Linked DNA regions of Nothobranchius furzeri. The protein of the gene in region 1 purifies or fractionates together with the protein of each later gene. This does not show direct contact. Links are inferred from orthologs where the notes say so. Each region holds a gene or a part of one and is shown on either strand. Other genes may lie near its edges. The genes, in order: bag2, edrf1, dnaJ homolog subfamily C member 13, hsf1, luzp1, dnajc7 and dnajb6b.

Region 1 (4,152 bases):
AATTCGGTATGGCATTTTCCCATAAGACCTCTCCTTGCTGCTTCAAGCAGAGTCCATCTGAAATTAATTAAATGTGTAAAAGCTAACTATAGCTTTCTGTGAGGTTAGTGGAATTCAAGACACCTCGGCAAAGGGTCTCAGTGACCCCCGTTAGCTTTTGTGCCCTCCAGTTTTTGGTGATCCATTATCTTGATGTTCTTTTCGGCATTTTCAACGTTCCTCAGCAGAGTCTCCAGCCTTCGCTTTATCTTCTTCTGGTCCTCCAGAGCGCAGCTGATCACCACGGTCTGAAACTTCTGGTCAATAGGGACGAGCGGTGCCTCCGTGACGCAGGCAGCGTGCAGGGCCAGCAGCTGCTGACGGCCACCTTCCATGTCGCTCAGCAGCTTTTTCACAATCTCGTCTATCATAGACGTGGCCTTGAGTAGTGCATCCTCCTGTTGGGGGTTTCTGATTGTGCCAACAGAGATCTCCACAGACAACGTTCGGCCCATCAGACGGTTCGCAGTCAAAGATAACTCTTCCCTCTCACCTAGAAGACATGTAAACATATTACTAAATCTTTATAGGAAAGAAACTGCTTTTAATGCGGCTGTAACAGCACATCAATAGTCATTTCATATTTCTAAAAGTTTATTTCAATGAGTACAAGCTCTGATTTGTCTGAGATCCCACCCCACACCATAATACTGCCCCCACTGAAACCTGTTAAGCAATATTCATGATGTTCTCCATGATTCTGCCAACTTGTCAATAATAACAAGCTGACACCAAAATACCACTGATATTAATTGGAAGAAATGAATGCAATAACATTTCCAAACATATTTTTTATTGGGATGGACGATGTTTCTCTGGAGCATTTTTTGCCATATTGCTTGTTATGGTCATCACATCGTACAGCAACCAATAAAGTAAATGCTTTGTCGAAAAACTAATAATTTTCATTTCCTCTGAAACATGCAATCCCGTTCTTAATGACTGAATCATGATCCATCCATCAAACTCCCCTCTGACAGTCCCTCCGCTGTATGCGCATACCCGTATTTGTGGATGTATTGCGCATTCTTGGCTTAGAGTAGTTGAACAGGAAGCAAAGTCGGAGCCGGACTGCCTAGTGTTTAACGGACAGAATGTTCGGTTATGTTTGCAAATTTTATTCAAAGATTAGGTTATAACTCATCTTTTCTTGTCATCTAGAATCTTCTGGTGCTGATCTGTAACAGGCCCTTTTGCGCCATGAGAATCTATCGTGGCTGCAGGAACTGAAGTAGGGATAATCCCAACCCACCTCCCCACCTAGTGGACACTTATATTGTGTAATGCCTGAAGTCTGTTGCATCTCTGTCGGAGGTGGGTGTTTTTTTTTTTTTTGCATAGCAAAGCTGCCTTCCCAGTGGAGGGTAACTCTGAAGTGCCTTTTTTTCCCTCCACCTGAACCAATCCTCATGTAACCCTCTGATCTCAATTAGCACGACTCAGGGTTGCGAATGACCACAGTCACCAATTCTTGTCATATGTCTTGCCCATGTATGTCTGATCTCTGAATTGTGTGTACTGAAACTCTAATTTCCCTCTGGGATTAATAAAGTATCTTTGATTTGATTTTGATTGACACTCACGGCAGTGACTTTTGCTTACAAATGTGGTCTGCAGTAACCAAATTTGACCACAGGATGTCAGTCTTACATAATGCACCTTTACATAAAGCCCTTCTTTCAAATCCCTGACCAGTTGAGAGGAGTTTCTAGGTGAACCATGGAGCTCGTGTGAATCATACTAACTTACATTAATGAGGTTTAATGGAGCATAAACCAACATGACTAGACGGTCTACCCTGGTCAGACTCTGGATTTAAATAATGAGCTTTAAGGGTTAGGCCTTTTTGTCTGTTTACAGCGGAACCAAATCAATAAACCAGATGTAGGCTATTGACTCACACGATCCAGAGGTGAAACATGAGCCTGGTTCACACAAACTGGGTCTGGGTGAGATCAGAGGAGATGGGATTCTGGTAGAAATACATTAACCGTACTAGTTCCCCTTTATAACCGCGTATCTTCCCTGGCATTAAGCCGTGCGTGACTTTTGCGCTTATGTAAGTTAAGAGAGAGTTAGCAGCTTCACCAGCACAGATGTTCCTCATTTCTTGACTGTTCTGTATGGACTGAATCATTTCCAGGATGCACTCCCTTTCCTGCTCCATGGCAGATGCTGCTTCTCGTAAAGCCTCCACTCTGACACAGAAAGAGAGACAGCATATGAAATAACACGCTGCAAACCAGTTATGTTTGTTATGAAAAACATTTATTGTCACATTGCCCTGTTTACAGTGTTTATAAAAGGTTTATGCCAATAAATGTTAGCGGCCGGGGCAAATAGCGGCTCCGTAGCACACATGGTACAACAAGGGCCTGTTACCTCGTTTCCAGCTGATCCAAACTTTCCAGGAGTCGCCCCGAGCGGTCTGCCATAGAAAGCGTCCTGCTGAACTTGCTGCAGAGGGCAGCTTCGTTCATTTTCGCTTGTATTTTCGCTTGAGCCATAATGAAGACGAAGATGATGGCTACAGTGCTTTCCCTCGGTGAGCGCAAAATCCAGTGTGTGTCCCTCCGAGCCGTCCAGCTGGGTGTAAATCCTCGGACTGAGGCAGGCAGCAGCAGCGCCCCATGGGGGGAACATTTCCTAACATGGACTTCCTTCACTCCGGCAGAAAGTTCCCGAGGAGACCAGAGCTGGAGCTCCCAATCGTAAGGAGCGTGGACCAGCAGAGGTCCGTGAGCAAGCTCCTCCAGGTCCACGGAAATAAAAGACCTATAATGTTCCAACTCACTTTGCAGTTTTAAGTAATGTGTCTTGATTTATTTGGGCATAATTTTTATTAGGCAGATTGGTAAAGTAATCAAGTTATTCTGATAAACTTATCCAGGCCTATATATATATATATAATTCATTTTCACTCCAGACTACAGATGAAAGCCTGTGGTGGTCTGCAACCCGCAACTCTGGAGCCACAGTGGACCTTCCAGAATGGCTTTTACTTTATAATAATCATAGATATAATAGAAAAAGTGAGATTTAAGCAGCCTTTTGTTATGGATTAATTGAACTGAATTCCCACAACGCAGTGACACCTGTCATCTAGAGGTGAAAACTGCATTACACCCCTAGGCCTCTCAGTTTCCATGATTATGGCCTTTTTATGAACAGTCATGTTGTGCTGTTTATCATGTATATTTTAAAGACTTACTTGTCCATAAGAAATGTTACCAACTCTGCATCAGTCTGGGCTCGTCTTCCCTCTGATCACCTCTCCGTCCAATCTTCTTTTCGAGCTCCCCATGTGTATGTCGTTTGATGGCTTCCGGGGGAGCTGATTACCCTTTTGGGGGAGCCGTGATTTCAACCTCCCCCAAAAATCGCCAAGAAAATTTCAAAAAGATGTATTGCCTTGGTTATCACAGTACAGGCTTTTATGGATTAAAAGAAAATCATAAATAATTCTTGGAAGGGGGGAAACTCCAGGTTGCTGCTTTAAAGTACCCATGAGATTTTTACATCTATTTTTTAAAAATAATTTCCCTAAATATAAATATCTGGTACAAAAAATACATTCATACACTTTTGGCAAAAGTTTTCTTCCTAAACTCAAAATCTAATAGGAACAAAATGGTGTAAATATTTATGAGACGTCTAACCTTAACCTCAGAATTCTGATTATTTTTCCCTCAGAAAAGAGAAAAAGAACTTCTTCTTCAGTGGCCCTAATCCTTTTATGTAAATAGTTCAACAATTATAAAGATCTTGTTTCAAAAGGTCCTGTAACAGTTACCCATGGTCCAGAGAAGCTGTGGTGGACGTCCCTTAAGGTGGCCACCCTAATGCGTCATTCCCTGTTTTGGGGACATTTATAGAAATGATTAACAAGAATTATTTTGGGGAAAACTACATCCACACAAACAAGGTGATCCCAAACCGACACAAGCAGATTTCACAAGCTCTTGAAAAAAATTCCATCTGTTCATTAGAAGTTACCTGTTAAACTGTAAATCAGCACAAGTGCATAAAGGCTCCATCTGAAAACTTCACCAATATCTGAATGAAGTGTAAATCAAATTTAATTTACACACACACAACTACCTTTTATGTGTT
Region 2 (4,034 bases), about 13 Mb from region 1:
TTCTTTGTGTTTTTGGATTCTACAAATAAATTAGATTAAAAAGTACCATGACTGCCAGTATTGTAGCTCAGCTTCTTTCAAATACAGGACAGAGGTCAGATCAGAGACAGTTTGAGACAACTGATGAGAAAAAATGGCATTCATCATTAAAGAAGAATATTTCCTTTCCTTTCCTTTCCAGATTGCAGCTGATTTCACTCACCTTGTGGACCAAGTGTTCACTTTCTTTAAGCTGCAGTTGAATGAGCTGGGTGTCTTTTCCTGTTACCCCTTCACCTCCATCCACGCTAAAAATATAGTCAATACGTTTAAATTGTCATGCAAAAAACTAAATACAAAATTTGACCAAAGATTGTTTTAACCTCTTATCATGCATATCCTCCCAAATCTGTTCTCGAATTTCCAAACGTTCCTCCAGCTGAGACACTAGAAAAAAATCTGACAATATAAAAACATTATTACTTTAATTAAATATAAAATAAACGTTACTCTTACAGCTTGAGAAGACTCCAATAAATGGATGTTTTTCTTTGAAATCTCTCTGCTCAAGTCGAGCGCGAACGTGATTCTTCCAGCTTCCCATAATTCTCTGTTAATATTCTGACTGTTTCCTTTACAAGCTTTTCAAATAAGGTCACGAAGTAGCAGCTGACAAGTAATCAGCACAAGAATTTGGGTCTGTCAGCAACGTTAACGGCTCCGCCCCATTTTAACGCAGCTGCTTGACATTCCTCTGCGGAGTTGACCAAATCTACAAATCTTTTTAAATCGAATCACCTCTCAATGGAAAACACACCCAGATAAAACTCACTGTAGGCCTAAAAGTTACGTCAATGGAATGCCATAATAATGTTATTATTTACTTTTGTTTATTTGTATTATTATTTCGTTGTATTATTATTTCATTAAAATGAATTAGTACATTTAATAAATACTACATTTTAATTTTGTGTAGTTCCTTTCTACAACACTTCACGTGTTTTTCTAATTGTCAATTTCAAAGTAAAAGACTTCAAAACAGAACACACTCAAAAGTTCTAGAAAGAACCTTTCTAGGTACTTCCGGTTCACGTTCAATTAATAAAAATATATATTTAGGGGGTTATTGTTGCTTGTTAAGTCAGAATTTGGGTTTATTATTTTGAAAGAGCATACTTTTGTATTTTATTTTCAAAACTTGACAGAAATGTTGCCGAAAAACTTGGAAATAAGAAATTTTCCTACCGCCCATGACTTTAAACCGGAAGTTGTTTCGTCTCCGTTAACTAGCGTCAGACATGTACACAGTCGTGTGCAGATGGAAAGAAGGTACATGCTAGTGACAGAAGTTACTGTTGACAAAATGTTTTTGGACTAAAAACGCAATAATACGTCCTCATTTGAGAGTTTGGTAGCTTTAGTTTAAATTGCCGAGTCTTATTGACACTTTTTTTCATGCTAACGTTACTACTCTTTCTTGGAGCTTAAACTAGCTAACGGTGAATTTATCGGTGAAATTCACGAATACCGTACGCCTTCGAGATAATGTACTGCCTAAACTGTAAACGTGTTCTCTAGTGATTAGGAACCGGCTTATGACTGCGGGGTAGCGGTCGTCTTACCAGAATGAGCTCATCAACAGCTGGGGACGGAGAGCCTGGGATGCCCTGGGACACTGCTAGGGAAGACATTGGTGGCTCCAGCAGCACAGGAGATTACAGCAAACATGTAAGTTACTTGGCGAGTGAATGTTATGACAGTTTATTTCAGTCAATAAATCGTTACATGTAAGACTATCCATCAAAATAGCTATTTACTGTTACCTGGAGTAATTATTCAACATTTAGTCAGTGAGTTCAAATGTGGAGTGTGTTCCTTTGTTTTTACCATGACTCTTATTTTGTAGGAGTCTGCAGTTTGCTTAGGCAATGGTGAGGTAAAAAGCTGTGCTGTCGTCAAGTATTCTGCTGCACCACCTCCTACCACCTACGCCCTGCTGCAGGAGAAAACAGACCTGAAGCTGCCACCTGCCAACTGGCTGAGAGAAAACCCTCAGTTGGGCAGTGCTGGTACCACTGTGTTAGGCTCCAGCAGCAAGTGCAAGCCTTTCTCCAGGTAAAAATGGTATCTGAGTAATTAACTGCGAAGAGGAGTCCTGTCCTGTCAAATTTAGCTAAATATTGGTAGCCTGGAGGTGACTGCAGAGCTGTATCTCTTGCTGTGAAGCATAAGTGCCAGTGCCAAACCTAAACTCTTTTTTTTCTTTCTCAAACGTCTCTAGTTATGCCTTATGCCTGTGTGCAGCATAGTCAGCTTCTTTAAAAAAATATATATATATATATATAAATATTCTTTAAAATATTTATTTACACGACCATATTCTAAAAACGAAATAGTCTAAAAATGTCATGTTGCAGTTTTTAATGAAAATATATATGTAAACAAACCCTATAATCTCTCCCTGTCTGAAGTGCTAATAACAAGAGATTTCAGCTTGAGATTATTTGATCATCAAACAAATGTAATGGATCGATTTTTGCCTTTTTCCTCAGTTTTGGGATGGCTTATGACTTCATTGACTGCATCGGAGATGATGTTGATGTGGTTTCAGACTCTGAGGTTGGTGATGTTCTAAGACAATTGAATCCTTTTCTTTTTCAGAAATTTACACACAGCTGATGTTAATTTTGTTTTTATGTTTCATTTAAGAACATCAAGAAGCTTTTGAAAATTCCCTACAGCAAGTCGCATGTTAGTATGGCTGTTCACCGCGTTGGAAGGACGCTGCTTTTGGACGAGTTGGACATTCAGGAACTCTTACGCAGATCCTCACAGGTAAAAATGTGTTTTCCATTTAGCTTCTTTAAAATATTTATTTACACGACCATGTTTTAGCATGCTTTATACTGTACAGACCAGGGATTGGACCTGGCTCAAAGAGATTTATCAGCGACTAATAGATCAAAAATGGCAAAGAAAAAAGAAGAGCAAAGAGAACTGGTACCAGAAAGCCATCCTATCCAAGTTCCTCTACTACAGGTGAGTAAATAGCTTTGCTTCATTGATTGACTTGAGCTTAATGCATCATTCTCAGTATAAATAATCTATGTCTCTGGTAGCATAAACGGTGATGGGGCTGCAGAGCCTGTGTCACATGACATTGATAAAGAAGATGAGGAGAATGAAGCCGAGGAGTACAGCTCCACATGGCCTGCCACTTTCACCAGCACAATGTCTGACGCAGAAGAATCAGATATGCCCAAACAGGTAGCTGAGCTGCACACACAATGCTGTCGGTGTTTATGTCAGGTTATTGTCTCAATAATAGACACGGTTAGGAACAGTTGCTAGAATTTATTAGAAGAATGAAACACTGTTGCTGTTAAATGTGCAGGAAAGCGTTTCTGTGGACAGCACGTTTGCTCTGGGTCAGGTGACGTCGGTACCCAAAGAGCAAAACCTCCCCACTCTTTTTAACGAAGGGGAAAACAGTCAGGTAAATGCAAAACATCTTAATGTTATTACTGTATGAGTGCTGTCATACACGCTGTACTTTATGTGATCATTTACAGGGTTTAAGGAACGATTTTGTACGAAACATCATGTGGACGTTTGAGGATATCCACATGTTAGTTGGGTCCAACATGCCGATCTTCGGAGGCGGTCGCTATCCTGCTGTCAGCTTGAGACTCAGGTTTGATATTTGAGCCATTTTATCCCAAATAAACATTGGTGTGTGTGTGTGTGTGTGTGTGTGTGTGTGTGTGTGTGTGTGTGTGTGTGTGTGTGTGTGTGTGTGTGTGTGTAACATGCACAGACCAGCAGAAAGGAAGATGCATTGGGTTGAGATTATTATGGAGGGTCCAAGTCTTTTTCTAATTCACTTGACTGTGAGAATGCAGCAGCTGCAGCCTCTCCAACACATTATTGCTGCTCAGTCTGACTGATTAAATGGTCACATGGCTGCTGAGCCCTCACTTTGGACTCTCTCTCTGTTTTCAGGGACAGCAATAAACCAATCAACGTTCTGACAGGCATCGACTACTGGCTGGACA
Region 3 (3,500 bases), on another chromosome or scaffold:
AAATTTTATGTACAACTGTGACTGATTTTTTTAATGTACATTCAATATAGAAAGTTTATATATGCAATATTACATTGAACATTTCACAAATTGCACTAGTTTTTCACATAGATTCAAAATCAAAGTCATTCTTCGTGTCAGAAGACTCTCCTTTCCTTCAGTTATTTTATTCATTTAATATTCTGACTTATAAATAATCTAGTGCTTTTTGCATTCTGGGGAAAGAATTACTTAAAACGATTTAGGCAGCGAATAAGACGATCTTTCACAGAGTGAGCAGAGCCGGTGGGAGGAATGAAAGGCTGAAATGTTAGAGCAGGTTTGTGCGACAAAACCAGAACAACCAGCTTCAGTCAGAGGGAAGGAATGAGACACGTTAGGGATTCATTTTCTCATTTCTTTTGTTTTCATGATGGAATTCTTTAACACAGACATGGAAATGTTTATCTAAGAGATCAGCAATGTCAAGTGCACAAACTAGGCCCATTCTCCTCAGACCAGGTGTTTTAGTCAGGATATGAATGGAGAGGAGACAACAGCTTCCATCACAAGTCTTGGTCTTCTCTTTTCTTTCTCATGACGGAAAAAAATTCTAGAGAAAAAATATATTCATACAAAAAGTAAACCTTTTTCTGTCAAAAAAACAAAAACAAAGAAAAAGCACAAAAACATGGTCATCTGTTAAAAGAAAGCATCAATGAAGACTTGAGTGTCATTTCTAAGCAGAGGAAAGAAGAGTGATGCTGCAGGTGGTGTTGTGGAGAATTTGGTGACAGTCTGGGATGGACTGCTCTCACTGGTCGTCCCCCTGCCTCTCTTCTGGGGAGCAGATCAGTCCTTCTCCGAGCTGTGGCGGTGAAACTGCAGGGCAGTCTGGGAGCTGTAGCGGGACTGTGTGAGGGGTGTCCTTCAGCCTTGATCTCCGACGTTGTTGTCCACAGGGGGTGGGACGCTGGACAATACTGTGGTTCCAGTTCCTGCTGTGAGGTAACCCGCAACTCCTGGACCTGCAGGCCAAACAGAGACACGTGAGACAGAGGCCAGACGGGTGGAACGCTAGGAAACAAGGCTGTTGAGGACCTTTTGGGTTAAAAATCTGTTGAATTTTCAGAAAGCACGAGAAAGCATCACCCCAAACCAAGACAAAAAAATTACTAAATTAATCAAAATAAACACAAAAAATAATCCAGACACGGAATTTTTCTGTTAAGATTTTGCTTTGCGTTAGCGGTAAACACTAAATTCCCACGACTGGGATGTAAACGAGAGTTTCAGGTGGTTATGATCTGCTCGGCACGGTGAGATGAAGAGGGAGAAATGGAAAATGGAATGAAGGACGTAAAGAAGGAGGGACTAGGAGTCAGGTGAGAGTCTACCTGCATCAGAGCAAGAGAGAGAAGGGCTGTGAGGCCCCGGCTCTGGAGTCTAGAGCCCGCCTCGCAGAGGGCTGCTGGCAGCCAGGAGAGACGGAGTGGAAACCCCTGAGGAGGAAATGGAGAGGGCAAGGAGGAAGGGAAGCGCAGAGCCAGGAAGTTAAAGACAGAGAAGGACAGCCGAGGGTTTTATGAGCAAAGCGTTAGGATTCAGCTCTCAGCCACACTCGTGATGTTTTGGTTAGTTACCCGTCAGGTAGCCTGCAGTCTGGGACTCTGAGATGAAAAGGTCATGTTTCTGGTCTTTGAAGGCACTCCAGACTGAAGACTTTGCAAGAATTTCGTTTACCTGCAAAAGAGAGAAAAGAAAAAGTTTTCTAATCAGTAACAGACGTTGTTTTGTTTTGTTGCTGCGATGACACGAGGTCGTTTATCCAGACCTGCTCTCCATACTGGAGACTGCGAGTCATGGACTTGAGAGCTTTTACGATCTGAGCCTTGGTAGCTGAAGGGTTTTCCAACGTCTCCAGGCCGATTCCTTCCAGTAGCCTCAGCAGGTATGGGACCAGCTCCACCCTCAGAGCCTGTGGATCAGGTACTAGATGTGTTATTGAAGGGAAAGTCCAACAAAATGGAAGCATAACCCAAACCTGACAGATTTACCTGAGCCACTAGCTCCGTTTGTTCCTTCTGGAACATTCGGTTGAGAGCCTCACACGCCAGTCCGGCCATGTCGGCGCGGACTCTCATCCCAGCCATCAGAGGGCCGATCGTCTCCAAAGACGCCATGGAACGCACACACAGCTGCAAGTCAGGTTCAAAATGAGTGTCTGGCCAAAGCTGCACAGCAAACATGGTTTTTATGGCCTCACCTCGTTCTCCGACAGGACGTGGATCAGGCGGATGGAGCTCTTGGGCACGGTGTTGTTCTTGTGGTTGAGCGCTGCCAGGACGCGGGGCAGGTGACCCAGAGGAGGAACCTGATCCGCCAGGTGGCTGTGAGTGCTGAACAGGCAAACTGCTGCTGTGGTGATGGTCTCCAGAGCCTCACCCTGTAGAAGGCCACGTAGCAGATACATGAGTAAACAAACTCAGAAAAACAAGAATGATTTGTGTCGCTGAGGCTCACGTTGGGGTTATTTTTCTCCAGCAGCTCACTCAAAGTCTCCAAGAGGGAAACCAGGAATTCCCGAGGTTTTCGCAGCACCCAGCCAGGCTGGGCGATGAAGATCCGTAGGAAAACTCCACCGACCTCGAGCTCGCCCTGCCCAGATCCATACTCCACTGTGAAGTCCTCTGGCAGCTGCACAGAGACACGCAAGGTCATTGTAACGCAGAGCAACACTAAACACCGACAATAAACTACAGTGATGTCACACGTACCTTCCAGCTGACGTCAGGATTATCCTTCTGCTGCTTAAAGTGCCTAAATAATAAAACAAACACGTTTTAATCACCTCCTGCTCTCAACAGCTGGTTAAACCGTCTCAGCTTGTGTGACTCACTCCAGCATCATCTCTCTGACGGTGGTGGACACTTTCTCCCTGGAGGTGTCGTTCCAGATGAGCTCAGGGTTCTCGTGCGTTCCCTCAAAGATCTGCACTGCAGCCTCAGCGTTATCTCGCATGGCGTCCATGAATACGCCCGGGAGGAAACGCATCAGAGTCAAACGCACCTAAGTGAGTCAGAAATCAAAGACGAGGGTCATTTAGTGAAGGTGTGACGCTCTCAGAGGCTTCGAGGACGCGCATCCAGGCTGACCTTCGGTCCAACCAGCTTGTCGGAGGTCATCTTGGAGAACAGCTCAGCGGTCTGTGTGCGGACCTGGGGGTGTGTGCAGTTACAAAACAAGTCCAGCAAATAGATCAGAGCACCTGGGGGACAGAGAGATCTCATCAAGTTCATGACAGGTGTGAATGTTTCAGGAGCTGAAAGAACGACTGACCTTTGGCCATCGCCTCTTTAACGATCTTTGTGTTAGAAGTCAGTGCGTGGAGGGTTTCCAGCACAATCTGCCTGCCTAGAGAAAACAAAAGATCGTCTAAATCACAGCTCAGAGGTAAATCACAGCTCAGAGGCGTCAGCTCAGATACTTTTGGATTTTCTTACTGGAGGGAAGTGAATGGA
Region 4 (3,998 bases), on another chromosome or scaffold:
TTATTATTAGTAGTATTAATATTAATATAATATTTATTATAATTTTTTATTGTGTCTTGTTAATCTTATAAATCCGGTTGTTTCTGCTGATTAGAATATTTCTAATGGTCTAGTTAAAAGGTTTTTGGTTTATCTACTGAGTTGTTCTTTCTTTTTTGTTGTTGTTGAGTTTTGGTTGTTGTTACAATATAATGTGATTGATGTTCACAAAAAAAAACTACCCACTTAAATTCTTAACAAATATTTTGTGTAAATACCCAAAAGCCTGTGAGAGATAAATTCCTAATTATATACGCGTTTATGTTTCTGTCCTGTGCCATATTTGACCACAGAAAACATTTTCTTTAATTTGCACAAAAAGAAAACCTTAATCTTGAAATTGGTCAACTAATGACATAACATATCAACAACACTACTGTTTGAAAACAAACAAGCCCAACAACTGTATTGTCAGACTGACCAAAAACAACATTTCTGTATGATTGCAATGAAGTTTATGATGTGAATTAAAAGCAAAAGTTAACAAATGTCGATCAAAATCAATTTATATAACATAACAATGTTGTAAAACAACAATAAAACATCAGACTGCAACAATAATTTTTACTTTAAACAGATTATCATTAGGTTCTTAAAAATGACTGAATGTGTTGATTAAATCGAATTTGTGAGTGTCTCCATCCATGTGCAAACATAAAGATAACGTGTCACCAAAAATTGGTTCTGTTTCGTTCCCTCCTGACTGCCAGTGGCAGTAAACAGAGTGGATGTCCTCGCGCTCTGCGCAGGTCGAGTAACTTCCGTTAAATGGGCTCGTAAAAGGTAATATTTAATTGCAAATAAATGGTTTACGGCATAAATGTATGGCAACATCTGGTGTGAAAATACCACAGGTTCAAGATCAGGCCCCTGAAAATTAACAAAATTTCAAAACAGGCACTCATCTAGAATTTACAACCACGAGGGCAGAGTTCAATGCCTTGCCCAAGGACACTTAAATTTGAAATGAAAACACCTGGGATTAAAACATCAACCTATCGCTAAGAAAAATGACATGTCATGCAAAATAAAACACAAAGTTTATATTTATTTTAAATGTGTATTTCTCTGCTTTTGACCCTGCCATTTCCATTCCAAATTAAAAACAATCCAGATATAGCTTTACGTCACACCGCGACCGAACGTTCACTTTACGTTATGTCATGACGCTGCGAAAGAGCGACAGCCATTCAGCCAGCTACGCAGTTGTTTGTATTATCGGATTTGTTGGAATTTTCCACTACGGAGTTTGTTTAGAGTAAAGTTAGAACATTGGTCTGTGGACTAGCCGACACTAATACCACTCCAGATCGGGGTTAACTTTTCGAGATGCTCCACGAACCCTAATCTGGTTTAGTGTCGTAGTTTATTCGCTTTTTTGTGTCTGTTAGGAGTTGATGGGGTTAACAGTAGGCTAACCGACTTAGCATTGACATTAGCTTCAGGAGTTTAGTGTACGTTTATCGTCTTTTATTGTAATGGAATATCTCGGAGGGGGTGGAGTGACCGGAGGAGTGGTGGTGAGCGGCGGAAACGTGCCAGCCTTCTTAACGAAGCTGTGGACCCTGGTAGAAGACCCGGAGACCGACCCTCTTATCTGCTGGAGCCCGGTACTCATGTTAGGCTAGCCTAGCAGAGCTAACTGCTAATTACTCGCAGAGCACTTGAGACGTTATTCTTATCAGAGCGAAGACTCCAGGGAGAATGTTTTTAAAAAGCGAGTAAATACATTAGTTTTTTTTGTTAGTTTGTAATATTGATAAAATGTAATATCACAAGTTAGCTGTAACAGCTGCAGGTGGATTTCTGACGGGCTAACATTAGAACTGTCTGGCGCTCTGGATTTAGCCATCAGGTCCTCAGAGAGTTACTCGTGTTCGGCTGGTGTTATAAATTTGACGTATACTGGGGACCAGGTGTTGACCTGCTGTTGGTTATGTCAGTGAAAATGAGCAACCAAGTTAATTTACTTACATAGACCTCATGTTACCTACTCAAGGCCTATTTTTATGTTTGACTTGTAAAACCTGATACAAGTTTTCTAAGAACTCTAATGTGGATTCATATACAACAGTTTTTACGTTAACAGTCAAACCATACCGTAAACATGGTATTGTTGTTGTTTTTTTGCAGAAGTTTTTAATTCCTCAGTAATACATTTTCAATTTATATTGTTGCTAGTTGAGTTAACTGACTGGGTTTCTAAAATCCTCTACAAATGCTCATCCAGCTTAAAGATCACATTAGAATCATAGTTTCTGTCTAATAAACTTGCTGAAATGTATATCTATTGAAATTGTGATTATTTGCCCGAGTTTGGAAACGCTTTGCTTTTATTTCTTCTCTTTAGCTGAAATCACTGCTGTGGCTCATCAAAATAAGAGCTTCAAGTAACAAAAACACACAAAGCACCTCTCAGCAAGGCACACTATACTATATTATAAAATGTTCATTTTACTAAAGCCTTCTGTCTTACTACTATAATATATATTTTTAATTATTACTTTCAGAAATGTATACGTTGGTCACCAAAAGTCTTGTCAAGGCTCAAAAGCCTTCAAATATCCAGAGTTCACAGTTTAAGAAGACAAAATATTTTTTACTTTGATTAAAAATAAAATCACTATAGACAAAATTAAAGGGCATAAAGTCTGAGCTATTGAGGATAAGATTCAGACATAAGTTTAAACATGTAGAAACCAACTAATTATCAAACACGTTTGTTTTATGAAAAATGGGACAGATGCAAAAGCAGAGAAGAACTGCAATATTTCCCAAATAAAACTGAATAAAACATCAATTTGCAAAAAGCTTTGCAGGAATATTTCCCTACTGATTCTAATTCACACAACAATAGTTGAGTTTAGATCACCGTGGCAACAGTCTGCAGTCAACGGTGTAAGCTGATCTGCAGACAGCTGCAGTTCCTCTCTCCACCGTGCCGACATGGTAAAAAGTTTATTCACAATTTACGGGTGTTAAAATGTCAAAATCTAGTATTTTTTCTTGTAAAATTCTGTTTACTGAATCTTAAATTGTTTGTTATTATTGCTCTATTGACACGACTGATTGCTCTGTGTTCTGTATATCAGAGTGGAACCAGCTTCCATGTGTTTGATCAGGCTCGCTTCTCTAAAGAGGTTCTACCAAAGTTCTTCAAACACAACAACATGGCAAGCTTCATCCGACAGCTCAATATGTGTGAGTATCAGCTGTCATCAACCAACTAAACCAGCTCTAGTTGAGCGGTCTCTTATTATAGTTTCAGGACTAATCAGGAACATTTATTTAACCAGCTGCTGCTTTGTTCTATTCTGCTGATGTCCAGATGGTTTCCGTAAGGTGGTGCACATTGAGCAGGGTGGTTTGCTGAAACCCGAGAGAGACGACACAGAGTTCCAGCACCCGTTCTTCATCAGAGGACAAGAACACCTGCTGGAGAACATCAAAAGAAAAGTCACAAATGTATGGTAACGCAGAAGCACTCAGATCAAACGTCTGGTGCTTTTTGACAGATTAGTTCTTTCAAAGTAATCTAGAGGTAAAGTCTTGTCTAGGTGCTAAAAATCTGATTGACTTGGTTAAATGTTAATAAGAAAAAATCAAAAGGATTTTGACAACATTAATTATCAATAATTAATATTTTAGAGAGAAACTTAATTACAAATAAATCCATTCAAGATCATCTCCATCCTAACCAGAAGCACAGACTGTTTAATGTACAGATAAACTCCCCGCAAATCCCAAAAAACTACCTCTCAATGACACTGAAGTTGGATTTAATTTTACATTTTTCTTGTTTTCTGTATTGAAATCTTTCTAAAATAATCACAGAGTCCTGTAATAAATCTTTGGAGCAGCTGTCTATAACGCTATGAGCTCTGACTGTCTTGCTTTTCCCTACGTTTGTGAACACGTGCAGTTAGAATGGACACATCTGATATATTTGGTAATGGTTC
Region 5 (4,226 bases), on another chromosome or scaffold:
CTGCTGTTGCTATGGAGGAGTGTATGCGTGATTGAGATGTGCTGCTGTCAGCAAAAGCAGGCAAGCAAAACACAGATCGATGTGGGTCTACAGGAGCAGGGAAGGAACAAAGCGTGTGGGGTCTGTTCGTGCAAGGCTAACACCCCCCACCACACACACACACACACACACACTTGAAAGATGTGCTGCTCCTGGCCCTTTGAAGGACAGGCAAGGTGAAAAACATGGAGGCTCAATGGCAAAAGACTTAGACACTATCTCTAGGGTTTACAGAGAGCAGCAGTTGTGTGGACGATGACTCCTTGTTGATGTCAGATGTCAGAAGAGAATGGGGCAGATGGGTTCTAGACGATAGACCGTAAAAACAATATCCTAGTCCAGTTGTGTGGGAGAAATTTTCTTGACCCACCACGGCACTAGTCAGCATACTGCAAGAGACACAGACATGCAGTGTAAATCCGGTATTAAACACATACTGAATATCGCATTGGTGTTATTGTGTACCAGGATAATGCCAGTAAAACGTATACACTCGTACAGCAGAGGGGATGAAAGAGCTACAGTAGCCTTCTGTTTTACATCTGGGATGTCTCAGTTTGCCTATGAAGGAGCTGTCCGTGGTCTCCACAGTGGAATACAGTGGGTGGGAGGGGGGTTTTAGGATGGTGGTCATCTTCCCCAGCATTCTCCTCTCACACGTCTATTCAACTGTACCCAGAACCAAGTTAGCTTTGTGAACTAGCTTGTTCAGTCTCTTCGTGTCACGGTCAGAGATGCCTGCACCCCAACAGACCACAGCAGAGTGGATTTCCGAAGGACCTCAGTTTCCTCAGGAGGTGGAGGCGGCTTTGGCGCTTCTTATACAGATACTTATGCTTGGAAGGAACCCACCGATGCACCAGGAGAACATGCAAACTCCTTGCAGAGAGACCCCAAGCCGGGATGTGAACCTGGGACCTCCTTGCTGCAAGGCAACAGCGCTAACCACTGTGCAGCTGCTCTTAAATCATCAAATATCTAAATCATTCAAGATTCCTTTGTTTCTTTCTTCTCCCATCTTTTCTTCTTCAAAGGGACATTTATTATCATTTATGTTATAAAATGTATTTGTGTTATTTTTATTGATGCATTATTTGGTTGTTTAGAGAATGAGGCGCTACTCACCAGGTGGAATTCAATGAAACATTTAAATTACAGCAGCAATTTCACTATGGTAGACTTCTTCTAATTTGCCTAGGTAAACTCAGGAGTAACTGCTTCGTTTGTTAACAGGATACAGTGCAAGCAAATCCCTATGGTCTTTGACTCATTTGCTTGGCTCACATAACTACTTTTGGGAATGCAAATGATTGTCATTAACAAACCAGGAATGACTAAGTGTTATTTCCTCTCCCTCCTACTGATGACAGATTTGTCTGCTAAACACCACTCTGAGGAAACTTTGACGACTTGAAGAGACAGCTGGAACAACTGGAAGAGCCAGACTGCAAAGAGGCAACAGCATTTCCCTGAGAGCCTTTAGGACTTTCTGTCACTGCCACACAGATGTGGAACCCCCATCAGTCTGTCATTAAATAATCCGACAGCAGAACCAACCCAACCGATACATTACACAGACGTTTGTAGCCATGTCTGATCATAAAGACATGACGCATCGCCACCTACGGCACAAGCTTCAGAGTCTCGGCAGACGACTGGATGAACTGGAAGAAGCGACAAACAAGCTGCAGAAGTCCGAGGATGAGCTGTTGGATCTGCAGGTTGGTACTGGCTGACAATGAGACGAGTTAAGTGATGTAAACATTAATGAAACTCTTCTTCGTAGGACAAGATCATCCAAGCAGAGGGCAGCAACTCATCACTCCTTGGCGATGTAGAAACCCTGAGGAAACATCTCTTGAAGATCCAGGGCAAAGATGAGGAAGTACGCAAAGCTGAGGACCTTTGTCGCACAGTTCGAGAGAAACTGGAAGAGGAGGAAAACCTCACAAAGGAGCTAAAGGCAGAGATTGAGCGTCTGCAGCGGAGGATGGCTGAACTAGAGAAACTGGAAGAGGCTTTTAATAAAAGCAAGTCTGACTGTAGCCAGCTCTGCCTTAGCCTCAACGAGGAGAAAAACCTGACCAGGAAGCTCTCATCTGAGCTGGAAATGCTCAAGGCTCGTTTGAAGGAAGTGGAAGGTTCTGAAACAAGGCTAGAAAGAGCAGAGCAGGCTTTGGCTATGGAGCTTGAGAAACTGAAGGGATACACTCAGGCCTTTGTCAGTGAGCGCAAGAGGCTGTTGGAGAAACAGAAGGAGGATGAGAAAACCATTCTAAATTTGACAGAAGAAAAAAAGAAACACCTTGGCATATCGACAGAGCCAGGGCGTGCAGATTTCATGAGTTCAAGAATCGAGGATGAGCTGTCGTCCACTTACTCCCTCACGAGTAAGCTGGCTGGATACAAGAAGAAGATGGACTCCTTAAAACTAGATGAGAACATCAGCATCGTCAACAAATCGGACAAGAAGAAGATGAGCGGTCTTGGCGGCTCACAAGAGGACAACAAAGTAAAGGAGCTGACGCAGGAATTGGAGAAGCTGAAAAATCGCCTCAAACAGTTGGAGATAGTGGAGGAGGACTTGAAGAACTCAGAGTTTAAAAATGGAGAACTTCACGAAAAGTTCCAGATGGAACGAAATCGAGCTCGTCAACTAAGTGAACAGGTGGAGCAGCTAAGGACGCAGCTGTTCGGAAAAGGAGGGATTGGAGGCAACGGGGTCAGTCACCTGGAAAAGCACGGCAGTGAAGGCAGCAGTATTCATCCGAACAGTCCCGCTAAGGTCCTTGAAAATGGCAAAGCTGAGAATCAGGAGATCGTGAAGGGAGCTTTCAGACAAGAGAAACCTAAATTTAGAAGCGCTGCAGCTGCTTCAGAACCTAGCTCCCCTAAGCACAGGAACAGGGAGCTCTCCCCTCAGCACAAGAGAGAAACCAAACTGAGGAGCAGAGAGCTCAGCCACACCGAGGAGAGATCTCCAAAGTCTACGAGGAGAGCCCTCAGTCCTGCTATCAAGACCAGAAGGACACCCAAAACCTCAGCTGCTGCAATTGTGTCTGAAATTGGAAAACAAGATGGTGCACGGCTTACTGAGGAAAGGACACGAGGAGCCACGTACAGCTCCCTAAACTCCACTTGTAATGATGCTAAGAAGTTGTCTGTTCTGAGTCGCTACCCTCCAGCAGCTAATGACAAGAAGTCACAGAAGATTGTGAACAAACAGACTGATGGGGACCTGAAAAACAGCAGGGACAAGTTTTCAAAGCTCTACGTTGGTAGTGATAGCGAATCAAACAACTCTGATGCAGTGCCAGAAAGCTCCAGTGTCTCCGCGCTGGAGAAGGAGGTGGCGTCCGCCTCGGATCAGGAGTCTGTAGACCTGGTTCAAGAATCCGTGTCCGCGTCTGTGGCATCCACCTCATCCAGAGCCAACGGATCGTACGCGGCTTACAGGTCTCGCATCTCTCCGCTGCTCGTCAACGATCAGGGCTCAGACAGTCATTCCTCTGCTTCGGAAACCGAATCTATCAGCTCAAGGCCATCTGAAGTGGAACCCGTCACAGAGACAAGTGCAACTATTAGCAGTAGGACTGCAACCCCCAGGTATGCCAGATACCCACATGTCCATGACTCTCATTCAGAGGGCTCTTCTTCCAGGAGCTCATTTGACGAAGAGCTGCACAGTAGGACTCAGTCCTCGGACGGTGGCCAACAGGGATTCGTGCACATTCCGTCAGCGATGGAAATCCAGAGAGTGTGCAGCCCTCGGGAGGCGCTGAGGTCCAATGCCATCATCAAGCCCGCCATTGTTGAGATTGACAGGAAGGAATTGATGATTTCTGAGTCCTTGTCTACAAACGGCAAACCCAGTATCTCCACCAAGCCAGCAGTGACCACCACCAGTAAAATGACCAGTAGCATAACCATTTACCCAAACGACCCTGGGTCTTCCAGAACAAGCAGCCGCAGCAGCAGCTTGTCCAGCGAACCTTTGCCTGTTAAAGAACGCCACACGTCTACCAGTAACATCCTTATAGGTAGGTGTTTTATACAGTAATTTATTACCAAACTGATTTGGTTCATTCACACTAGTTGATCCAGTAGTTAGTAATGCACAGATTCTTGCTAAAGTCTGTTTGAAAGGTTTTTTTATGTAGAACGTTTATAATAAAGGGTCATGCAGC
Region 6 (3,500 bases), on another chromosome or scaffold:
AGATAACGCCTTTGTGAAGGTATGGTGTGCATAAGAAGTTACTGTCTGAGTTTTTGTTGAGTTCAAATGTGATTCTGCAGTGGGTATGGAGAGATGTGGATGGCTTCCTGACTGGCTTAGACTGGTGAGCTAATGGCTAGTTCAAGCATCCGACAAAAATGTTTTTCTGTCATCTTAAAGAGTTTGTGTAGCTTCACTTTCTAACCCTTTTGCACCACCTTCAGCTTTCATTTATTTCAGTGGGTATTTATGAGCATAAATGTTATGCTAAATCCCACCAATGTAAAAGATGTTTGATGCGTTCAGACTAAGGGATGCCGTTCCTTAAAATACATTTCATCTGTTGCCATCTTCTCCAGAGTTGAATCAATGGAGAAAAAGTAGTTTTTAATCAGCCCAGACACTCACCTAATCTGTGGGTATTCTGTTAGCTTTAGCTTAGCATAAATGAGTTAATGGTAACAGCTAGCCTTTGGTGTGAACCTCAATAATCATACTGACTGCAAATAAAAATAATACCACAAAGGATTTGCAGCTGATTTAGACTTGGGACTACATTACAACAAAGTACCCCTGTAGGCCTTACTAAGGTAGTGCTAATGTTGTATTTACTCTAAATCCTTGGGGGCTATTATGAATTACTATAATTGTGACAGTAGATATCCACAATGACAATAACCGGTGAGTTTTGTGGTCAGTGTGCCATGTCCTTGCACCTTGCAGCAGTGGCTTATAGTAGTGCTTGGATGTAGTGTAATCCCAAGTCTAAATCAGTTCCTGTACAGTGATCCCTCGTTTATCGCGGTAGATGCGTTCCAGACCTGGCCGCGATAGGTGAAAATAGGTGAATGCATATTGTGCCTTGGCGCAACAGAGGGAGGTGTCATGATTACGTGGAGAGTCACTGCCGAGCTCCGGCAGGAAAACCTATTGATGATGAGAGTAAACATGGGCCATAAGTTCTGCTTTTGTAAACAGAACCAGCTGAGATGATAAACTGGAGCGATGCAGATCTCCAGGAGCGTCTCTTCATTAGAGCTTGGTGTCAGATCACCAGAGACTGTTCAGGAACTGTGGAGGACCTAAACTCTTTAACGTGAGGCTATTCAGGAAGTGATCTACAACAGTGCAGATGGTCATTATGTAGAATTTATGCAGGAATACAATTCTAAATGTCTGAAATATCCTTTAAGATGGCAGACGTGCATCTCTCCTACAGGGACATTTGCGAGAGGGCAAGTGCCACCTGTGTCTTGGTAATGCTATGGCTGCCAGCCGCTGTTTCCAGAGAGTTCTGGAGTTGGAGCCGGATAACAGTCAGTCCCAGCAGGAGGTGAGTGAGCCTCTGATTTGTAGAGCTGATTAGGTTATCCTCTGTTGTAGAAGCCGTCAGTGTTGCTGAAAGGCCTCGTGGGTAAATGCCAGATTTTTGCTGATCCGTTTGCAGCTAAAGAACGCAGAATCCATCCTGGAGTACGAGAGGATGGCAGAGATCGGGTTTGAAAAGAGAGACTTCAGAATGGTGAACTACTCTTTTAGCCTTTAAGCAAATTCATTTGACTTGTGTTGTAGAGTCTGAGAATGAAACATGAGACAGCCCAAACACAAGAACGCTGTGGTTTGTTCTCAGGTTGTCTTTTGTATGGACCGTGCCTTGGAGTGTGCATCAGCTTGTCACAAGTTTAAGATCCTGAAGGCCGAGTGTTTAGCCCTGCTGGGACGATACCCAGAGGCACAGTCTGTAGCCAGGTAGGAGTGCGTTATCGAAACCTGATGTAAGAGAAATGAAAAGCACTTAAGAAATGTGTACTTCAGAGGTTTTTGGATTTAATCTCCATCAGATTTAAATTAAATACAGATCGAAAATCACAGAACTTCATGTGTTTGCCTCAATTCAGTGACATCCTGCGAATGGACCCCACTAATGCAGACGCTCTGTATGTTCGCGGTCTCTGTCTGTACTACGAGGACTGTATAGAGAAGGCAGTCCAGTTCTTTGTCCAGGCCCTGCGAATGGCTCCGGACCACGACAAGGCCCGGCTCGCCTGCAGAGTGAGTTGATGAGAATTAGGTAGTGGTCCAACTGTTGAATGATTTATTTATTTGATAAATGTCTGTTTTATATTGAATAGTAGGGTTATGACTCAACAACCCGCAGGGTGATGATTCGATCCAGAATCGAGTCTCAATTCAAATCGATTTACAGTGTGTGTGTGTGTGTGTGTGTGTGTGTGTGTGTGTGTGTGTGTGTGTGTGTGTGTGTGTGTGTGTGTGTGTGTGTGTGTGTGTGTGTGTGTGTGTGTGTGTGTGTGTGTGTGTGTGTGTGTGTGTGTGTGTGTGTGTGGCTTTAACATGTATTCACATAAACCAGTAACATTATCATTGAACACGAAGACTAACGGTAGCTAATTATGGCTAGTTTATACTTCTCCGTCAGCAAGTTTGTGCGTGCGCACACACACACACACATGTATTGACAGATGTTTTTTTACTTCTCTGTTGGTGCGTCAATGTTGAGCAATTTTCTGCAAGGACAGCACTTTTCTGGGGTATCCTGCCATCATTGCAGTCATGTTTCTAGTGTGTTTACAATGTGATGTTGTTAGGTAATTTGATTTTATCCCATATTACCTTAAAGGACGACACACCCTTTGATAGAGAGAGAGAGAGTAAATTGATTATTTGTAATGTCCATGTGTGTGGCTCAACCAGCCCCCACTCTGCTTCAGCCTCAAAGCTTTATCCTCACCTGCTCTGTATACCTGCATTCTGCAATTATCTGGTAGATAATACTTAACCTCCATAACCCTGGAACCTGAAATAAACACACATGACAACAAGGAAGACATTTTACCCTGAGTCTCCAAATGCATGGAGAGTAAAGCCGGGCATACACTGTGCGACTTTTTCACTTTTTTGAGCCGATTTTCCAGTCGTGCGAGAATCCACGACATCGGGGCGAGTTTTGCGCCGAGCGGTCGTGTAGTGTACAGGGGGTTACGAGAGGCGATTAACACCACGTGACCAGCCGCCGATCAGCAGTCGTGAGGTCGCAGGGATTTCTGGTGTGTTTAATATTTCGCTCGTCCCTCGTGAGGGTATCGCACTGTTGAAGCGGCGCTGCGAGCAGCTGCGACCCAAAAAGTATCAGAACCGCTCACGGCGCATGCGCGCGCAATCCTGCATCAACACCGGCCGGTCGCTCGCTATTTCCCTAATAACACGCTGTTCGTTTTTGTTTCTACACGTTTTTTTACTCGCAAAGATTGTCAAGAAAGCGTGTTTGTCGTGTTCATGCCAAATTAAACTGATCACAAAACACAGATTCACTTTCTTTATTTCGTTTCCTCATCCAACCCCCATAAATCCCTGTGTGTCCTCCTGCAGCACTCCCGAAGGACAACAGGCAAGACAAAAAAGTCTGACGTGTTGAGTAAAAACGGCTATTTTTAGCACATTTTTAGGGCCGACGTGTTGCTACCAGACGTACAGTGTGAGCA
Region 7 (2,569 bases), on another chromosome or scaffold:
CTGAATGCTTCATAATGGCGGCTTCGTTAGTTAAGGAGGCAACCTTTAATTTCACCGAGCATAGTTCCTGCTGAGATGCGAACAAAAGAGCGTAATTCTCTCACTCAGATGCACAAACAGCTCGAAAATGTCTCCTCAGAGAGCTTAATTTACAAGTTTTATTCCTGTAAACCTGAGTTTAAGCCCAAAATCGGATTATCTTTACTAACGTGTCATTAATTAGTCACAAACGCGTGTAAGCGGGTTACAGATTTATCAATAATTGTTGCAAACTTGATCCTTTATCATCTGGATCTTCTGGTAATAAAATAGCTTAATTCCAACCATGCATATGTTAAAAAATGACTTTGTATTCAAAGATTTGCATAAATAACTACCATTTTATTAGAAAATTCTGAATAAAGTTCAGTTTTTTCACTTTCAATCACAGCAAAGAGGCGCAAAGTTAAACAAAAAATCACACAATTAGAATTCTGAGAGGGTTGCATTCTGTATGAATGTTCATTATGAACGTTAATCTAACTAATCAGCTAGAGCAAAACAACAAAATCAAAACAGCCTCACAGCCTGCAACCAGCTCAGACATACATTGATTGTGTGCAAAATCAAAAAGTCAAATCTCAAGTTCACTCATGCAGCAAACCTTCCTGCTTCTAGTCAACAAGCAGAATGTAAATAAGTGAGTTACTCTTATTTTCTTTTCCTGCTGCAGCTACAAAGATAAATAAGTAAATAAATAAATAAATAAATAAAAGACTGGATTAGTTTAAAAATGTACCTGAAAACCATCTGATACCTTTTCTGTACCATGTTTAGTAAATCATGCGTATGCATTAAGATTTACTTACTGACATAAGTATTTTTATTTTTGTACCTTTTTTACACAAGTTTGCTTCTAATTAGGACAAAAAATACATGTACTGTATCCTGAAAATGGCATTAAAACAATAACTAACAGGACTGAACTCAATACATAATTTCATATCATATAAAATAATAACAATACTACAATAATACTACTACTAATAATAAAAATTGGTACTTACCACTTGCAGTGCCATCATCCACCAGAGAGCAGCAGACAAAATAATGTACTAATCCTGATAAAGAGATAGAGCTAGCAGAAATACAAGTTATGATTACAAATTAGATTTATTTTAGCACTCACATAATAATTTAGGCCACAGTAAAAGGAATAAAAAGAAAAACATTTAATCACAGCTTATAAACATTCTTAAATGCTTTCTTTTTGTTTTACTTTGAAGGTCACATGGACTCCAAGAGAAAGAAGCTGTGGCTAAAGGAGGCAGACTCCAAAAAGAAACGATCCGCTCGACTCTTCCCTCGATTGAATGGATTCGGCACCTTTTTCTAAAACACCCGGCAGGTATAAAAGTAGTTGTGTTGCAAAAGAGCCGTCGGCTACATGTGGCATTAGTATGATTTTTCTAAAATCAGAGCCGACAGCATCGCTGCTGCATCAGATCTCCTCCTATCTGCAGTATAAAGCTTAATTCATACCTGCTTTCATCAGCCATACAACACCACAACAGCAATTTTTATATTTTATTCTGATTGTAGACGCTGCAGTGGTTCGCTTGTTGCTGTTGTTGTTGAAGCGTTGGTCTTCTCCAGGAGGCCTCCAGATCTTAAACAAATCTCTAATGACTGAACTGATTTCTGCAGCTTGCTTTTTAGGCTCTTGAAAATGTTTGGCTGCAAAAGAGAAATTGCCTGATTTGAAATAACCATGAGATGTTGAGGTTATGGCATGTGAGAGACGATGAAGGTCAGTCTATTTGGTGCAACAGGCGACTTTGAAAGTTTCAAAGAAATGATGCTCAGTCCTAGTACTTTTACCAGTATTGCACCTTTAAAATGCAAATTTTAAAGATTTTTTTGTAGCCTAATCAACAACACGCTCTTTTTGTGTTTTTGTAAAATACAAACTCATTTAGGATCTTCTGACAGATCGTTCTTGTAATAAACTGCGTTTAGATGTGGAAATGTGAGACAAATGTTCACATTTTTATGGACTCTGACAATAAATACTTAAATAAAACAAAGAATATACTCATCGTTTTGTTGTGTAGGACCACATTTTATCACCAGGAGAATAATCTCAGGAAGACATCAAGCTGCTGAGGCAGTTGTGATAAGATATCTGCTGTTACAGTTCAGCGGGTGTTATCAGCCGCCTGTCCTGTGGGCCGGAACATTATTACTTCAAAACAGTGGCTGTGTGTCATTACAAATCAAGATTGAAAAAAGAGGAGAACAAATAGATTTTAGCCTATTCCACATGTCTTTGTCTAACCATGAATGAGATGTTTTTGATTTAAAGGTGCAGTGTGTAAGGATAACGTAAGAATTTTACAGTGATATAATCCTAAAACAGTCTAATGTCTCAATTACGTTGGAAGGAAGGTTATACTCAGACATATTTCATTCTCAGCCGGCTGCTGGGGTTGTCAGGTTTTCTCCTTTCAAAAGTCTGTGGGAGTGTGGGGTTGCCGTGTCTCCTGCGAGCTAGTGTAGTTTGTAATTCGACTACAGCTAGCAAAAAGCA

Evidence for each region.
Region 2: the proteins of bag2 (region 1) and edrf1 purify together in Homo sapiens (affinity purification with mass spectrometry; 3 studies listed by BioGRID and IntAct, with this or other methods). This does not show direct contact. The link is inferred for Nothobranchius furzeri from reciprocal best matches to the Homo sapiens genes BAG2 and EDRF1.
Region 3: the proteins of bag2 (region 1) and dnaJ homolog subfamily C member 13 purify together in Homo sapiens (affinity purification with mass spectrometry; 3 studies listed by BioGRID and IntAct, with this or other methods). This does not show direct contact. The link is inferred for Nothobranchius furzeri from reciprocal best matches to the Homo sapiens genes BAG2 and DNAJC13.
Region 4: the proteins of bag2 (region 1) and hsf1 purify together in Homo sapiens (affinity purification with mass spectrometry; 3 studies listed by BioGRID and IntAct, with this or other methods). This does not show direct contact. The link is inferred for Nothobranchius furzeri from reciprocal best matches to the Homo sapiens genes BAG2 and HSF1.
Region 5: the proteins of bag2 (region 1) and luzp1 purify together in Homo sapiens (affinity purification with mass spectrometry; 3 studies listed by BioGRID and IntAct, with this or other methods). This does not show direct contact. The link is inferred for Nothobranchius furzeri from reciprocal best matches to the Homo sapiens genes BAG2 and LUZP1.
Region 6: the proteins of bag2 (region 1) and dnajc7 purify together in Homo sapiens (affinity purification with mass spectrometry; 7 studies listed by BioGRID and IntAct, with this or other methods). This does not show direct contact. The link is inferred for Nothobranchius furzeri from reciprocal best matches to the Homo sapiens genes BAG2 and DNAJC7.
Region 7: the proteins of bag2 (region 1) and dnajb6b purify together in Homo sapiens (affinity purification with mass spectrometry; 4 studies listed by BioGRID and IntAct, with this or other methods). This does not show direct contact. The link is inferred for Nothobranchius furzeri from reciprocal best matches to the Homo sapiens genes BAG2 and DNAJB6.

The regions. Positions count from the first base shown.
Region 1 is NC_091752.1:19,643,860-19,648,011, forward strand, and holds the start of bag2 (BAG family molecular chaperone regulator 2), read right to left. Parts: upstream 2,801-4,152; 5' UTR 2,547-2,800; coding exon 2,422-2,546; intron 2,238-2,421; coding exon 2,128-2,237; intron 533-2,127; coding exon 138-532; 3' UTR 1-137. UniProt on the Homo sapiens protein: Co-chaperone for HSP70 and HSC70 chaperone proteins. Acts as a nucleotide-exchange factor (NEF) promoting the release of ADP from the HSP70 and HSC70 proteins thereby triggering client/substrate protein release.
Region 2 is NC_091752.1:32,210,973-32,215,006, forward strand, and holds the start of edrf1 (erythroid differentiation-related factor 1), read left to right. Parts: upstream 1-1,234; 5' UTR 1,235-1,308; intron 1,309-1,413; exon of another isoform or gene 1,414-1,557; 5' UTR 1,558-1,605; coding exon 1,606-1,707; intron 1,708-1,885; coding exon 1,886-2,094; intron 2,095-2,531; coding exon 2,532-2,598; intron 2,599-2,688; coding exon 2,689-2,814; intron 2,815-2,893; coding exon 2,894-3,018; intron 3,019-3,098; coding exon 3,099-3,246; intron 3,247-3,373; coding exon 3,374-3,475; intron 3,476-3,551; coding exon 3,552-3,673; intron 3,674-3,981; coding exon 3,982-4,034. Other genes in the region: si:ch1073-143l10.2 (autophagy-related protein 16-1), read right to left, coding at 47-120, 203-287, 363-426, 496-583. UniProt on the Homo sapiens protein: Transcription factor involved in erythroid differentiation. Involved in transcriptional activation of the globin gene.
Region 3 is NC_091747.1:45,068,596-45,072,095, reverse strand, and holds the end of dnaJ homolog subfamily C member 13, read right to left. Parts: coding exon 3,483-3,500; intron 3,394-3,482; coding exon 3,319-3,393; intron 3,248-3,318; coding exon 3,135-3,247; intron 3,049-3,134; coding exon 2,879-3,048; intron 2,800-2,878; coding exon 2,757-2,799; intron 2,677-2,756; coding exon 2,503-2,676; intron 2,426-2,502; coding exon 2,246-2,425; intron 2,178-2,245; coding exon 2,037-2,177; intron 1,958-2,036; coding exon 1,814-1,957; intron 1,723-1,813; coding exon 1,623-1,722; intron 1,482-1,622; coding exon of another isoform or gene 1,426-1,481; exon of another isoform or gene 1,377-1,425; intron 1,008-1,376; coding exon 910-1,007; 3' UTR 388-909; downstream 1-387.
Region 4 is NC_091759.1:9,321,637-9,325,634, reverse strand, and holds the start of hsf1 (heat shock factor protein 1), read left to right. Parts: upstream 1-1,198; 5' UTR 1,199-1,517; coding exon 1,518-1,649; intron 1,650-3,131; coding exon 3,132-3,240; intron 3,241-3,367; coding exon 3,368-3,504; intron 3,505-3,998. UniProt on the Homo sapiens protein: Functions as a stress-inducible and DNA-binding transcription factor that plays a central role in the transcriptional activation of the heat shock response (HSR), leading to the expression of a large class of molecular chaperones, heat shock proteins (HSPs), that protect cells from cellular insult damage.
Region 5 is NC_091758.1:27,128,022-27,132,247, reverse strand, and holds the start of luzp1 (leucine zipper protein 1), read left to right. Parts: upstream 1-1,426; 5' UTR 1,427-1,628; coding exon 1,629-1,760; intron 1,761-1,825; coding exon 1,826-4,079; intron 4,080-4,226.
Region 6 is NC_091745.1:16,064,866-16,068,365, reverse strand, and holds part of dnajc7 (dnaJ homolog subfamily C member 7), read left to right. Parts: coding exon 1-19; intron 20-1,219; coding exon 1,220-1,333; intron 1,334-1,447; coding exon 1,448-1,522; intron 1,523-1,630; coding exon 1,631-1,749; intron 1,750-1,898; coding exon 1,899-2,052; intron 2,053-3,500. UniProt on the Homo sapiens protein: Acts as a co-chaperone regulating the molecular chaperones HSP70 and HSP90 in folding of steroid receptors, such as the glucocorticoid receptor and the progesterone receptor.
Region 7 is NC_091747.1:47,486,495-47,489,063, reverse strand, and holds the end of dnajb6b (dnaJ homolog subfamily B member 6b), read left to right. Parts: intron 1-1,265; coding exon 1,266-1,375; 3' UTR 1,376-2,069; downstream 2,070-2,569. UniProt on the Homo sapiens protein: Has a stimulatory effect on the ATPase activity of HSP70 in a dose-dependent and time-dependent manner and hence acts as a co-chaperone of HSP70. Plays an indispensable role in the organization of KRT8/KRT18 filaments.